Linked DNA regions of Macaca fascicularis. The protein of the gene in region 1 interacts with the protein of each later gene in a pairwise test. Links are inferred from orthologs where the notes say so. Each region holds a gene or a part of one and is shown in the gene's direction. Other genes may lie near its edges. The genes, in order: ZC3H12A, BTRC, P4HA3 and AHSP.

Region 1 (3,876 bases):
GCGGCTGAGCCCTGGGAGCAGCCGAGTGCGGTGTGTGTTTGTATCCAGAAGGAGGAGGGACATGGGAGGAGGGGCTGTGATGTTGGGGGGTGCTCAGAGGAGCCTGCTCCTGAGAAGCAGAGCTACGCACCCACCTCGGGGGTTTCTGAGCTGGGGTAGTGGCAGGAGGGGAATTCCAGCCTCAAACTTCCTGTCTCAGCTGCTACTCGGTTCCTGCCCCGGCCACCCTCCTCCCCAGGGGCAGGCGGGCTAGCCCCCATCCATCATATGCAAATTATGGGGAAATTCACCTCTGTTTCCTTCTAAGGGAATTTTTCTCCACTCACCAGGCCCAGCCCAGGCATATCTTTTCACCTGGGGAGGCTGGCCCAGCCCTGCCCTCTGTCCTGGGGCAGGAGCAGTCTAGCTGGAGTCTTCTACACACACTTCCTATCAGTGTCTGCTTCGCCAGGCTGGGGGACCCTGACCTTACGGGCAAAGAGGACTGGGGTGGGGGCAGGGATGTCTGGTTTTCCTGTGCCAGCAGCGCTTCCTCCAGTGCAGTGAAACAGACTAAAGCTAGCTGTAGGGGGGCACTCCAGGCCTCATGTGCTGTACCAAGAGGGCTCTGATAGCACCCACTGATCACAGTTTTTCCATCTGCTGAGGGAATATTCAGGTGCTAGGGCTGCTGAGGACCGACTTGTCCCCAGCCAAGATTTTCAATGCCCAGAGGCAGTGCACTGCCCTGGGAGCCCTGGCATCCCATTAGTTCCCAAGGCTCCAAGATACCAGCCTAGGATCACGTGCCCGGAGGGAGGCGGGTGGGTGGATACATGCGCACACTGCATACCTGAGAGAAGGAGCTGGGCCTGGGGTGACCCAGCTGCCACGGTTTTGAGAGGCAGGGCAGAAGGCCCAGGGAAGGGGATGATGTGATGGGGGAAGCACTGGGCATTGTGAAGACACAGACCAGGGACCTGACCCATTGTGGCAGGTCAGGGAAGGCTTCTCAGAGGCAGTGACATCTCACAAGCATTTTGAAGGAAGAGCAGGAGTTTGCCCCCAGCATTGTTTCTCCCTTTCGCCGCCTGTCTCTTAGAACACACTTTGTTTAAACTTAATTTTGGGAGCTTTGTTCTCCCAAATAAATTCTGGGTCTTCTGTTAGAGACAGGAAGGCAACCAAGTGGCCCAGACCTGGGTTCCAGTTCTGAATGTCTCTTACCACTAGCCAGGTGACCTTGGACGAGTCCCAGAGCCTTCCTTTCCTTCACAGTAGCAAGCCCTGTAAGAATGAAGCCATATATTTGGCTGCCAGTGGGAGCTCGGTGCCTGCGAATCCCTGCTCATTCCCTGTGATCAGGGTCTGTCTGCCTTTATACCTACCTGAGCATTAATGTACAGGGTGGTGATAGGCACAGGTCCTGGGCCTGCATCGCTGTTCCACCGTTACTGCTGTGTGACCCTGGTGACTAAGCTGCCTTCTCTGGACCACAGTTTTCATCTGAAAAACAGGGAAGGGGATGATGGTGGTATAGTGCCCTCCTCACAAGCTTGCTGATGATTCAGTGTTAGGTGCTTAGAACAGGGCCTGGTTCACAGCTCTCAGCAAATGGGAACTTTTCTTATAAGCAGGCTGGCAGATGGGGCAGGGGGACCAGGGGAGGATGAGTGCTGCCCTGGGCTGGACTTTGTCTCCCCTACAATTTAGAGACCTTCAGACCCTGGTGCCCCAGCCTTGCCCCCAAACAGCCTCCATGGCCCCCAGCTGCCTTACCTTCTCTTAAGGCTCCAGCTATCACCCCTTACCTCCCCCACTCCCATTAAAGACACCCACAGGATGTGGTCGGCCCTGGACTTGCCTCTTTTGCGTAACATTTATTCTGTTTTATTTGCCAAATATGAGAGTCTAAGCTGTTCACTGAGGGGGCAGTGAGAGGTGGGGCTGCTGGTCCTAGGAGCTCTTCCATGACACTTAGTGTTACCTGGGAGCCCCAAGCCCCAGTCCTCCGTCCCCCAGGAAATCCAGCTGGAACCCCTACTTTGCAGGGCCATCTTTGGCCTGAAGCCACCAGGAAAGCTGACTGACCCGTCTTAAGGACACTGCAGACTGCTGGGCCCGTTTTCAGATAGAGGAATGGAGAGCTGCAGCAGCCCAGGAGCCCCGCCAGGCGCCCTTCTGGGTGCAGCCACCTGTGGGTGGGGTACGGCCTGGTCTGAGACCAAGGCAGGGCCCGTGCCTCACTCAGCTGTCCTTACTAAGAGTCCCCCGGCGTCTTCCTGATGGTCTTTCAGCCTTGGGGTGAACAGGCGTTTGGGGGGATTGCCATCTTGGGAGGAAAAGCAGTATCCTTTCACTTTCAGACTGAAAGGGGAGCCTGCTCCACTCTGGCACTTTCTGTCCCACACTGAAGGCTGGAGTCGCCAGCCCCTTCCCCTTTGCCCTTCTCAGGCCCCAGTCCCTGAGGTGTGTGTGAGGACTGAACTTTAATCCGGAACAATCTGGTTTCTCCTCAGTCAGCCCAGCCGGTGCTTCCCCCGCCCCCACCCATGCTGCAAGAGGCGAGGGAGGGGTGGTGACTCAGTGTGCATGTGTACGTCTGTCCCTGTGGTCCCGGCAGCTCGCCGGGTGGGGCAGGAACCAGAAGTCTCCCGGCACCTTTCCCCCACCCCCAGGTGTGTTGCAAGTGGCCTGGCCCTCCCCCACCGTGGGGAGCAGTGCTGCCAGCTTCCTGGGCGCTTCCTCACTTTCAGGAGATGGAGCCTCAGGGAAAGTCCCAGCGGGGCCTGGCCATCCTGGAGTTGTGGGAACTGGCACTGGGAATGGAGGCCTTGGCCTTGGGCCCCACCTGCAGAGGGCCAGGGCCTGAGCCCTGGGGAAAGAGGAAGGGGCTGGTGATTCCAAAGGGGAAGGGGCTGCTCACCACCACCACCAAAGCCAGGGCAGGGGTGGGGTATGACAGCCCCCCTCCTCCTGCTCAGGCCTAGGGGGTGGCAGGCTGGCCATCAGTGTGGGCTAACCCTGTCCTCCTCTCCCTCCCAGCCATGGGAACAAGGAGGTCTTCTCCTGCCGGGGCATCCTGCTGGCGGTGAACTGGTTTCTGGAGCGGGGCCACACAGACATCACAGTGTTTGTGCCATCCTGGAGGAAGGAGCAGCCTCGGCCCGATGTGCCCATCACAGGTGAGTGCTGCCTCTGGAGGTGGGATGGTATTACTGCCCCAGCAGCCCTGGTTCTCCCCAAGAGAGACCCTCTGGGAGTGGCCTAACTTCTAGAACTCAAGCAGGGACCAGCATTTCTTTTCTCAGTTTTTTCTGTCCTTAGCAACCTGCTCTGAACAGTGGTCATTGGAGGTCACCTTGTCTAGTCTTCTGCCTCAGATGTGGGGCCCCTCCCTCATCCTACTGGTGGGCGGGTCACTCTTTCAACCTCCCCAGTGGTAGAGGGGCAGTGCCACATAGTGGTTAAGCCTGTGGGCTCTGAGTCAAGACAACCAGAGTTGGAATCCTGGCTCTGTCCCCTCCTGGCGCCCTGGCCTGGGCAGGGATCTCTGTTAGCCCCGCTCCACGTGCTCCTCATCTGAAACATGGGGTCAGTGTCGGCGGGGGGTGTTGACAGCAGCTCCTTCCTCATGAGATTGTATAAGTTAACACATGGTTAAGTGCTGAGAAGAGTACCTGGCACGTGGTAGACGTTCAGTGTATGTTAGCTGTTACCACTGTTCTTGCAAGAGCCCCCAGCTTTTGGAGGTAAAAACTGAATCCGTTTCTCTAGAAGTCTTGAGATCTGGGGGCAGGCTGTCTGGGGCTACAGGCTCCAGGAAGAGGGGCCCTTTCCACTTGCTCACATCTGTGTCCCTGTGGTCCCAGCAGCTCCCCAGGTGGGGCCTGGTGA
Region 2 (3,876 bases), on another chromosome or scaffold:
GCTTTATTTTTCTTCATAGCACTACCTACATTATATTTTCTAAGTATTTGCTTGTATTTTGTTTGTTTGTTTGTTTTGGGGGACAGAGTCTCGCCCTGTTGCCCAGGCTGGAGGGAAGTGGTGCAATCTCAGCTCACTGCAACCTCTGCCTCCCAGGTTCAAGCTATTCTCCTGCCTCAGCCTCCTGAGTAGCTGGGATTACAAGTGTAAGCTACTGCGCCTGGCTGCTTGTGTTTTTAATGTGCCTTTTACACTAAGAGTATATGTTAGTGATGTTAGAGACTGTCATTTTTGTTGTTATATTCCTAGTACCAAGGACAGTGTTGGGCACATTGTAGGTGCTCAGTAAATACTTATTGAATGAGTCAATTAATAAAAAAGACTGCATGGGAAATACAGAATATTTTATTTTATGGAAAAGGGTAGATTGAGCATATGAGTGTTATTTTAGCTTTATGTTCAAAAAGGTACCACAGAGTCTCAGAATATTCTTTGGTTTCTCTTTCCATAAAGGACTTCTTATTTAACAATTAAAAACCAAGTTGTTGGCTGGGCACAGTGGCTATTGCCTGTAATCCCAGCACTTTGGGAGGCTGAAGCAGGCAGATCATTTGAGGTCAGGAGTTCAAGACCAGCCTGTCCAACATGGTGAAACCCTGTCTCTACTAAAAATATAAAACTTAGCCAGGTGTGGTGGTGGGCACCTGTAGTCCCAATACTTGGGAGGCTGAGGCAGGAGAATCACTTGATTCTCCACCTGGGAGGTGGAAGTTGCAGTGAGCCAAGATTGTGCCAGTGCACTCCAGCCTGGGCAACAGAGCAAGACTCTGTCTAAAAAAAAAAAAGCTGTGATGACAGGGCACAATGGCTCACACCTGTAATCCCAGCACTTTGAAAAGCCAAGGCAGGAAAATTGCTTGAAGCCAGGAGTTTGAGACCAGCCTGGGCAACAAAAGAAGACTCCATCTGTACAAAAAAAATTTAAAAATTAGCTGTACATGGTAGTTTGCACCAATATAGTCTCAGCTACTCTGGAGGCTAAGGTGGGAGGATCGCTTGAGCCCAGGAGCTAGAGGCTGCAGTGAGCTATGATCTATCTCACCACTGCACTCCAGCCTGGGTGATAGAGTGAGACCTTGTCTCAAAAAAAAGTTGTGAGCAAGTAATTGTATAACTGTCCAACAACTGTTGTATACAAGAAAAAGCAAATTAGATTTTTGGCTTGCTAGTAATAACATGCTTTCAGCTTTCAGTTTTTATTTGTGTATGTTCAAGTATTAAGAATGTCTTCTGCAAACTTTTGGAAATGGATGCTTAGTCTTCTGGCGTTATAGCTGATTTACCAACTTTGTATGGTGTTTCTGTGGTTTTCCACGTAATTGCTAATAGAATAACAGAGTCGGCTCAATCGTGTAGACATAACATAGCATGCCATACCAGAAAATCGTGTATATTTCCCTCATTTTCAATACTAATCGTTTTGTTTCTTTTAACCCCCTTCTATAGACAAAACTTGCCAATGGCACTTCCAGTATGATTGTGCCCAAGCAACGGAAACTCTCGGCAAGCTATGAAAAGGAAAAGGAACTGTGTGTCAAATACTTTGAGCAGTGGTCAGAGTCAGATCAAGTGGAATTTGTGGAACATCTTATATCCCAAATGTGTCATTACCAACATGGGCACATAAACTCGTATCTTAAACCTATGTTGCAGAGAGATTTCATAACTGCTTTGCCAGGTATGTCTACAAGTGTTTGTAAATCATGAATTTGCTGTGATGATAACAGAACTAAATCTCTAGCTATGTATCTGTCTTTAAAAGTCTTTATTGGCTTGATTTTTACAAATTAAGTTCCTTAACTGTACTTTTTGGTGTAAAGCTTTTTTTTTTTTTTTTTTTTTTTTTTTGAGACGGAGTCTTGCTCTGTAGCCCAGGCTGGAGTGCAGTGGTGTGATCTTGGCTCACTGCAAGCTCCGCCTCCCGGGTTCACGCCATTCTCCTGCCTCAGCCTCCTGAGTAGCTGGGACTAGAAGCGCCCGCCACCATGCCCGGCTAATTTTTTGTGTTTTTAGTAGAGACAGGGTTTCACCGTGTTAGCCAGGATGGTCTCAATCTCCTGACCTTGTGATCGTCCCGCCTCGGCCTCCCAAAGTGCTAGGATTACAGGCATGAGCCGCTGCGCTCGGCTGGTATAAAGCTTTTAAAAAAACAAACTCTAGAAATAAAGACTCTTTTTTTTTTTTTTTTTTTTGAGGCAGAGTCTCACTTTGTCACCTAGACTGGAGTGAGTGCAGTGGCATGATCTTGGCTCATTGCAACCTCTGCCTCCCAGGTTCAGGCAATTCTCCTGCCTCAGCCTCCCGAGTAGCTGGGACTACAGGCACCTGACACCATGCCTGGCTAATTTTTGTATTTTTAGTAGAGGCAGGGTTTCACCATATTGGCCAGGCTGATCTTGAACTCTTGACCTCCAATGATTCACCCGCCTCAGCCTCCCAAAGTGCTGGGATTACAGGCATGAGCCACCGCGCCCAGCCGAGACTCCTTTTATCCTATCTTCTTACTCATGCCCTTCTATTCAACCTATTTTTACCCATACATAGGTCCAAATAAAATCTTTTCTGAGGTGTTACCTGATGTAAGTTGTGTCTTTTATAATATGTCTTAGTTTCAAGATATGTTTATGTACTTGGATTTGTATTTCTATGAGAATATATCAACAGAATATTGAAATTCTACAGATGAATAAAAAACATTTTTAATTGAAGTTTTTAGAAAGAAGGCTATCTCATAAGCCTCGTTGTGGTGTTAAATAAATAAATATAAAATGATATGTAAAATCCTTTTTTTGGAGGGTGCTGTGGTTTTTCTAAATGCTTATTTTTGGAAGGGCTTATTTTCCTGACATAGTATTCCCCCCAAATACTGACACCTAGAACACTTCCAAGGTGTCAGTGTTTGGGGGGAATGCTATGTCAGGAAGATAAGATTCTTGTGTATTCAAAGTTTATTTTAAGAGGAAAAAATCATACCAACTTGAATGAATCTTATCTTAAATGTCATATCTTGTTAGGGGAGGGGGTGTTGTTGTTTTCCAGTTACAGAAGTTACAGGGAACTTAGAAAATATTTAAAAACATTTCCCCCCAGCATTCAGAAAGAACTACTGATTTGCTATATTATTAATATTTTGGCAGGTAGCCTTTCTGTTTTGTCTAGGTATGTGTTTTTTTTTTCCTATAAAGCTTTGATCATAAATGTTTTGTGACCATTTTTCTGAATACATTCTCTTCATGTATTTTTCTGAATGTGTGTTCTTTTCAATTGTTGCATAATATTCTTTACAATGGTTGAAGCACATACTATTTAACCCCTTTATTGAACATTTAGGTAGTTTCAAAATTTTTTCCTATTATAAACCATGTGATGATGAATTTTTATACATTAATCTTGTGGGAATCCTACGGAAAAAAATACAGACATGGAATCGCTATATATTAAGGAATATGAACATTTTTAAAGGCTTTTAATACATGGTGCCAAACTATCCCCTGATAAAAATATACCAGCTCATAGCCTCCCAACTATTAATACTACTTTGTTTTATATTTGCTAATTATACCTTTTTTAAATTTTTGTTTTTCTGAACTAGGAATTTAAGTTGCTGTTTAAAACAAAAGAAATACCTATTTATATCTTAGGAATAACCCCTGTAAAAACTGAATTTTACCTATATCTTTTGTTAAATGGAATAGATTTTTGCCCCCTCTTTACTCATTGGATTTTGTTTTAGCCATAGGCAAACAGTTTTCTTTGTACAATCTGTGTGTACCTCATTACTTTGTTCTCCCCAATCACTGAGACATGTTACTATCT
Region 3 (4,487 bases), on another chromosome or scaffold:
CATATAAAATACTCTGGACAGCAATTAAATGAGTTAATATATGTAAAATACTCTGGATGGCCCCTGCCACACAGGAAACACTCAGTAAGTATTAACTGCTGTGTTTACTATTGCCATTGTTACTACAATTATTACCACCTTAAAAACTTCCACTGGATTTTCATAGAGGAAAAGCACCTAAATTTCTTAGTATGGCATGCAAAGGCCCTTCGCAATCTGATAGTTTCAAGCACAAGGAACTTCTCGTCATTTCTGGAACTCAAACTGTTTTCCACCTCCAAACCTTGTCACGCACAGGTACCTTCTGCCAGGAAAGCCCACTCCTCCCTTGCCTGTCAACTTCCAATTTTTTTCATGCTTTTGAACCAGCACACATTATCTCCTCTCTGAAGCCCTCTCCACCCGCTAGATGAGGGTTCCTTCTTCAGTGTTGCCATTGCACATTGCACAACCCTCAGTTACTCTGACAGCACTTTACTGTGATTACTTGTTTACATATCTGTCTCCTCCTCTGAGTCCAGGATTGGATCTGCTATTTCTCTGTGTAGTCAGCACATTAACATAGGTGCTAATAAATATTTGTTGAATGAATGAACATTGCCTGGGAAATGATTAAGAGGGGGGAAATAGAGTAAGTAGCTTAGTAGGCTATAATAATAGCAATATTTTTGTTTGCCTAAGTGACTCTAGGTATATTGTGTAAAGCAGTGACATCAGGACCCCAGAGTTTCAGGTTCTGTAAGTCCTAGATTTGTCATACACTCACATCCTCACAGAGTCCTACTCATCCTTCAGATGGCTCAGATGTCACGCCCTCTGTGAGGGTTTTCCTGCCTGCTGCCCTCTTGCCGCTCTTTGCCTGCGCAGCTATTCACACACGCAAAATTGGCTCTTCTGTGGGGATCCAGTGGTGTTTGTGTATTCCCACTCCATGGTACAGAGGGGCGGATATTTTAGGGATGTTGTCAGCATGGTGTTAACAATATTTGGGGATGGTCACAGCCTTAGACCTGTGAATTCATCGCTCACCTCGCCCCCGCCTCAATTTCTCCCAGTGTGATGGGCACAGTGGAAACACCTTCACAGGGTCGCGATTTAGTGGAGGGCGGCTGACACTGATGTTGCAGGAAGCCCCCACGCATTCCGAGGAGCTGAGGGCTAGAGAGCGAGGTGAGGCGCGTCGAAACAAGGAAGGAGGCAGGGGGCGTGGGGCGAGACTGGGCTGCGGAGGCGACTGACCGGGGCCAGGGGGCGGGGCCTGAGCCGGGAGGGGGCGGGGAAAGGGGCGGGGCAGGCCAGGGCAGGAGCAGCTGGCTCCGCGCGGCCAGGACTGTCTGAGAAGTGCGCTAGCGCTGGCGATGGGTCCAGGGGCGCGGCTGGCGGCGCTGCTGGCAGTGCTGGCGCTCGGGACAGGAGACCCAGAAAGGGCTGCTGCGCGGGGCGACACGTTCTCTGCACTGACCAGCGTGGCGCGCGCCCTGGGGCCCGAACGCCGGCTGCTGGGGCTGCTGAGGCGGTACCTGCGCGGGGAGGAGGCGCGGCTGCGGGACCTGACTAGGTGAGGGCACGGCGAGTGGGAGCGACCGAGGGGCCTCAGTGGGAGACACTGTGCAGCAACGTGGGGTGACTCAGGTTGAGTGTGACCCCAGGCTCATTGTCATGCTGCGTGGGACCCCAGACCCACTGTCGCATCGTGCGACTGAGACATTGTGGCGTGGGATGGGGAGTGGCTCTGAGGGCCAGTGTGACCCCCCAGACCCATTGTCACAGTGTGTGGGACCCCGACACTCCGTGGCATGAGGTGTTGGCGAGGGTTGAGTCACACTGTGTGGGACTGCAGACTCCATAACACACACGGTGGCACTGTGGAAGAGCGGGGTGGGGTGACTCAAGGACCTCACAATGTGCTGTGCGAAGCTGTATGATCCCCAGGCCCTGTGTCACACTGACACAGACTCAGTGGACGGTGCTGTGACAGAGACACTGTGAGAGTGAGATGGAGAAAATATGGTGACGCTTTAGCTATGCAAGTATTGACTTTTCAAGGGGCGATCATGAAACACCGCATGACCTAGTGAGCTGAAGTTTAGTGTTAGGAGTCAGGTGACAGTCTTCCACCATATGTGAGATTTACATGTCATTGGCACTGGATGGGCACGACGCTGTGGATATCATACTCTGCATGTGAGTGATGCTGAGTAACTGTACAGGTCGCTATATGAATAATGCTTCAGTTCATTAATTCATAGAACACATATTTTTGAGTGCCTACTAAGAGCCAGGCAGTGTTCCAGGTAGTGGGGATAAAATGGTGAAGAAGAGCCAACTCTGCCCTCAAGGAGTTCGGGTCTGTAGCACCATGACTGTGAATCAGAGATGTCCACTGCCCTCTACGTCTTCAGTTCTTCCTTCTCCTTACACATGTAGAAGCTCTCTAAATACTAAATAAATGATAACTGAGATGTTATATGTGTGTCAACATATTTGATATCAAAAAAGCACTGTGAAAAAACATACTTGATGCAGAAGATATTGAGTATAGCACACGGCAGTGGATGCTCAGCTAATATTGTTTTGATATACAATCAACAAACTCTAGTGCTACACACTGTGGCATAAAAGATTGTTAGACTTGGGATGCTGAGGCACCATAGTCATGTATCGACTTTGGCAGTGTCCAGCTGAGAAAAATGAAAGATAAATGATTGTATATGATACCATCTGTATGAATATGTGCTGCGCCTTCTCTGCTTGGGACATGAAGAAGCCTACAACACTGACAGAGTGGTTATGACCACGTCACTATTTGGATATATTAATATTGTACCTTTATCACGTGACCTCCTTCTCATTGAGCTAAGACGGCACAATGCACTGCTTTTAAAACTTTGCGTGAGTGTATGTGATAGTAATACTGATTCTGGGGTGACATGAGAAGAAGGTATGTGGAATGGGGAGTGACTCTGAGGTCCAGTGTGACCCCCAAACCCATTGTCACCCTGTGCAAAACTTTGAGACCCCATGACTGTGAGAGAGAGCTATGTAGAAGAAAAGCATTTTGTGGGTGGAAAGTATTTGTGAGAGATCTTGTTAATAGTGACTGAATGAGCTAATTTGGTGCTTGTCCTTAAGTATGTGGCTTGCATATAAACAGCTTGAAATAGTGTGACAATGTACAATATAGGTATGTATTAATTTTAACAATAAATGAAGATCATTTCAATAACTATTGTCACTTTTTGGTATAGCATTGTTGTCTAGTATTCTATGGGTCCATGCTGACTGAGTCAAATGTCTTCTTTTTGTTCATAGCCCAGAGTCATTGGAGTCCAAGCTTATTGATGGAAATAGGAAAGACTTTTTTCTGCTTGATTTCAGAGCCCAGCATGCTCCCTGCTACCCATGCTTGTTTTCATACCAGTAATCTCTTTCTTTGGGTAGCTCAGATGGAGATGGGAGTGGGGGGTCAGAATCCCTGTGCTGGTCTTTCAGGTTACATTCTCAGAAGAGAGCACTCAGAGCATTTTGGCCAAAGCAGCTGGCCGACCCCACTCCGCCATGCTGGTCTCTTTCACTGTCTTTCCACCATTATCATTGCCACAACTTTGTCGCAGCAGGAGGTCTCATACAAACCGTATCTCATTTGATTCTCTCTCACACACGGTGCTTTGAAATAGATTTGTATTACACTGTTAACTGTTGAGAAATCAGTTAAAACCCAAGAAAACTAAAGTCTAGTTGCTTATTCAAGATTGTATTAATAAATCTAACAGGTAGCAAATCCAGGACTAGGATACAGTTGTTTTGACTGTTTATCCAACTTTTTTCCTATTATGCTATGTTATCCCTACCGCTTCTTTTATCTGTTATACCAAGACATAGACCAAGCCCCTAACTAATTGAGGTTTTACTAGTGGCCACAGTACATAGTGGTTAACGGTAAATTCAGGAGTTTAACAGACCTCTGTTTGAATCATTGGCTCTGATCTGGGACAAGTTACTTTACCTCTTTGAGCTTTAGTTTCCTAATCTTTAAAATGATGATAAACACAGTACCTATCACTATAGGGTTGTTGAAGGATTAAGAGTACCATGTAAAAGTATTTATCATTATGCCTGGCATGTAACAATTGCTGGACAAATGCTAAGCCTTTATGCTTATTATTTTATTTTATTTTATTTTATTTTATTTTAAGACCAACTAGTGAAACTAGGCCCCACTTTTGGCTCTGAGGATTAACTAGGATTGTGACAGCCTAGATAAAAAACAAATCAGAAAAGTTCCCAATTATTTTCTCAGGTGACTTACGAACATTTAATTTTGTAGTTTAGTTTGATATTTTGAAGACTGGCATTCTATCATTCTGTTCTCTAGTGACTGCTCTAAAACCCAGTGAAATGTTTGCTTTTTAAGAGACAGGGTCTTGCTCTGTCACCCAGGCTAGAGTGCAGCGGCTCTATCATAGCTCGCTGTAACCTCAAACCTG
Region 4 (3,284 bases), on another chromosome or scaffold:
AGTGCGTCCATACAACGCACTGTGTGCACTGACACTTGCAATAACTTGGATGGAGTTCAAGAACATCATGCTGACCAAAAAACGCCAGCCTCAAAGGTTACAGACTGTATGATTCCATTTATATGACATCCTGAAAAAGACTTAACTGTAGTGATGAACAGATAAGTGGTTGCCAGAAGTTATGGGTGACGGGAGGGGTGGCTACAAAAGGGTAACATGAAGGAGTGGTTTTTGGGTTATGGAAACATTCTGTATCTTAACCGCGGTTGTAGGCCGGATGCAGTGGCTCACACCTGTCATCCCAGCACTTTGGGAAGTGGGTGGATCACTTGAGGTCAGGAGTTCGAGACTAGCCTGGCCAACATGATGAAACCCCATCTCTACTAAAATACAAAAATTAGCTAGGCGTGGTAGTGCACGCCTGTAATCCCAGCTACTTGGGAGGCTGAGGCAGGAGAATCGCCTGAACCTGGGAGGTAAAGTTTGCAGTGAGCCGAGATCGCGTTACTGCACTCCAGCCTGGGCCACAGAGGGAGACTCCCTCTCAAAAAAAAAAAAAAAAAAAATTAATAAATTGTACACCAAAAGGAAGTCAGTTTTGCTGTATATTGATTTTAAAATGCTACAACCAAAAAGGCAAATCAACAAAACTTTATGAGTGTATAGGTACCTATGAATGTTGGGTTTTGAATGGAAAAAAAAAGTGACAGGAAATATACCATGTTTAATGCTGGTTACTTTGGAGGGGGCAAAAATGATTGTTTTTCAGTGTATGTTTTTGTATTTTTTTAATTATTTAAATTAGTATATAGTGATTTTGAAATTTGAGAAACATCTATTGAAAATGGAAAATACCAGGAAAAATATTTAAAAAGAAGAAAAAGAGTATTTCTGCTTTATTGGATACCTGTTGAGGGGGTAGTGAAGAAGACAAATGCATCTCCTTCGCCTTGTTGGAGTGCTGTGGCATGATCTTGGCCCACTGCAACCTTTGCCTCCTGGGTTCAAGTGATTCTTGTGCCTCAGATTCCCAAGCAGCTGAAACTACAGGCACCCACCACCACGCCCGGCTATTCATCTCCATTCTTGTGGAGTGCAGCATGGTGGAGTTCGGTCTACATGCTTACAGATGGCTTATCTGCAACATGTGTCTAAAAAGAAATTTTATAGGATAAATATTTTATACGTTTGAAACAGTGCTTGGCGCAAATGAATAGATGTAATGCAAGCTGCTATTAATACATCATCTCTGAATTGAGAGAATAATTGCCATCACATCGTTGTGATTACACAAAAGCCTCCGTCATGTAATAAGGCTCAGTAAATGTCAATTTCCATAGAATTTCAAGCCTGCATACTAAATATGGGGCCAAGGGCAACGACATGTCCCTGGTTTGACTCTTGCATTCTTGGTTTCCTGGGTTTCCTCATTTATCTTTTTTTTTTTTTTGGCCTTGTTATCTTTCTACCTTCAGGGAAGCCTCTCCCTTCTTCTCCTCCCCAGAATGACCTATCACCCTCTTTCAGGACCTAGATGCAGGGCGTTTCTATCTTAGGCTGACATTTGACTCATTGCCTACATCTAGAGCTTGGCACAGAGCGATTCACGCACCCTCAAGAGTGTGGGTGAGACATATACACCCTGTTAGACCTGAAGGTGAGCCCAACCTGGGAAAATCGTGACCTCAGAGCAGAGCAGGATGTGAAAGGTTTTGGAAAGGAGGTGGCCCTGCAGGGCAGGAGGAATTTTTAAGGGGCGGAAGCAGACTGGGGGAAATACCCAGTGAGGAGGGAAACGGATATGTCAATTCTACCCTTTTCTCTACCCAGGCAGATGGCTCTTCTTAAGGCCAATAAGGATCTCATTTCTGCAGGACGGCAGGAGTTCGGCGCTCTGCTGAATCAGCAGGTGAGTTCAGGCTTTCGTTTCAAAGGACTGGCCTGGAGACTGGGGGGTGCTGGGGAAGTGGAGGATGAGGGCAGAAAACAGAGGATAACTGGAGCTGATGAAGTAATGGTGGAATTGCTGGAAACAATGAGAGACACGGGATACAATGCAGAGGAAGGAGGATGTGAGAGCTGGTGCCGTGGCACTATTCTGGGTATTCCTGAATCCCACTGCTGACCACATTCTCCCTTGCCAACTGCCTCTCCGCAACCCCCCAGGTCTTCAATGATCCTCTCATCTCTGAAGAAGACATGGTGACTGTGGTGGAGGACTGGATGAACTTCTACATCAACTATTACAGGCAGCAGGTGACAGGGGAGCCCCAAGAACGAGACAGGGCTCTGCAGGAGCTTCGGCAAGAGCTGAACACTCTGGCCAACCCTTTCCTGGCCAAGTACAGGGACTTCCTGAAGTCTCATGAGCTCCGGAGTCACCCACCGCTCTCCTCCTAGCCCAGGGACCCAGCCCCTCCTCTCTGAGAAACTCTGACCTTCATGTCCTTAGGCTGTGCTCCCGCCACTCTACACTGACACCTCAATAAAGACCAGTGCTGGTTTTGTTGGACTTCCTGGCTTCTCTTTCATGGTCTGACCTGACATGTGGAGGCAGTCGGTCCCTTTCCTTCCGCCCTCCTTCTTAGATATGCTCTTGGAAGCTTAATTCCTTAGAGCAGAGGTTAGCAGCCTTAAGTGAACACTGGGCAGCGATTCTAAACTAAAACAGGCTGAATGAGGGCCAGGAAGGCAGGACTAGAGAGAGTGCGGAGGCGCGGGGGAGGGGGTGGCAGAAACAAGAAAGGGGGATAGAAGCCCTCCAGACGTTGTCCTGTGACCTGCTTGTCGAGGAGGAAACTGCTGGAAGTCTCCCAGTCTTGTTCATCCTGCGCCAGGTCCACCGCCTCGACTTTTCAATCCCCTGTCCTTAGCTCCAGCTCAAACAACATTCTAGGATCTTCGGACTCTGACTACCGCAGAATACCTCCCCGGAGGCCCGAGCATCTTAGGAATTTAGAGTTGTAAGGGATCTTGAGAACCCTTCAGCGCGCCACTTAGGTTTCAAGCCAGGGAGCCCCTTCCCTTTGGCTCCAACATCCCTGGGCGCAGATGCCAGGATTGGGAAGCAGAGGAGCCCGCCTTTCCCCCGCCCCAAGCTTCTCGGGTCAATTCCCGGTCTAGGCTCCCTTTCTCCCAGACCTCCAGACTCGAAGCCTCTATTTTAGGGCTCTGGGCGGAACCAGGGCCCGGCCAGACTCAAGACCGTTTTAAAAATGAAATGAAGCTGTTAGACCCGCGTCGCAGTCTCCAGGAAAAGCCTCCAGGCGCAGAGGGGAGGGCGC

The links.
Region 2: the proteins of ZC3H12A (region 1) and BTRC interact in binary tests that used the Homo sapiens proteins (3 or more experiments, as listed by UniProt). The link is inferred for Macaca fascicularis from reciprocal best matches to the Homo sapiens genes ZC3H12A and BTRC.
Region 3: the proteins of ZC3H12A (region 1) and P4HA3 interact in binary tests that used the Homo sapiens proteins (3 or more experiments, as listed by UniProt). The two-hybrid records come from large-scale screens. The link is inferred for Macaca fascicularis from reciprocal best matches to the Homo sapiens genes ZC3H12A and P4HA3.
Region 4: the proteins of ZC3H12A (region 1) and AHSP interact in binary tests that used the Homo sapiens proteins (3 or more experiments, as listed by UniProt). The two-hybrid records come from large-scale screens. The link is inferred for Macaca fascicularis from reciprocal best matches to the Homo sapiens genes ZC3H12A and AHSP.

The regions. Positions count from the first base shown.
Region 1 is NC_088375.1:197,448,070-197,451,945, reverse strand, and holds part of ZC3H12A (endoribonuclease ZC3H12A), read left to right. Parts: intron 1-3,024; coding exon 3,025-3,164; intron 3,165-3,876. UniProt on the Homo sapiens protein: Endoribonuclease involved in various biological functions such as cellular inflammatory response and immune homeostasis, glial differentiation of neuroprogenitor cells, cell death of cardiomyocytes, adipogenesis and angiogenesis.
Region 2 is NC_088383.1:110,491,967-110,495,842, forward strand, and holds part of BTRC (F-box/WD repeat-containing protein 1A), read left to right. Parts: intron 1-1,506; coding exon 1,507-1,738; intron 1,739-3,876. UniProt on the Homo sapiens protein: Substrate recognition component of a SCF (SKP1-CUL1-F-box protein) E3 ubiquitin-protein ligase complex which mediates the ubiquitination and subsequent proteasomal degradation of target proteins. Recognizes and binds to phosphorylated target proteins.
Region 3 is NC_088388.1:73,182,311-73,186,797, reverse strand, and holds the start of P4HA3 (prolyl 4-hydroxylase subunit alpha-3), read left to right. Parts: upstream 1-1,336; 5' UTR 1,337-1,358; coding exon 1,359-1,558; intron 1,559-4,487. UniProt on the Homo sapiens protein: Catalyzes the post-translational formation of 4-hydroxyproline in -Xaa-Pro-Gly- sequences in collagens and other proteins.
Region 4 is NC_088394.1:29,732,296-29,735,579, forward strand, and holds AHSP (alpha-hemoglobin-stabilizing protein), read left to right. Parts: upstream 1-1,591; 5' UTR 1,592-1,709; intron 1,710-1,830; 5' UTR 1,831-1,834; coding exon 1,835-1,909; intron 1,910-2,166; coding exon 2,167-2,400; 3' UTR 2,401-2,512; downstream 2,513-3,284. UniProt on the Homo sapiens protein: Acts as a chaperone to prevent the harmful aggregation of alpha-hemoglobin during normal erythroid cell development. Specifically protects free alpha-hemoglobin from precipitation.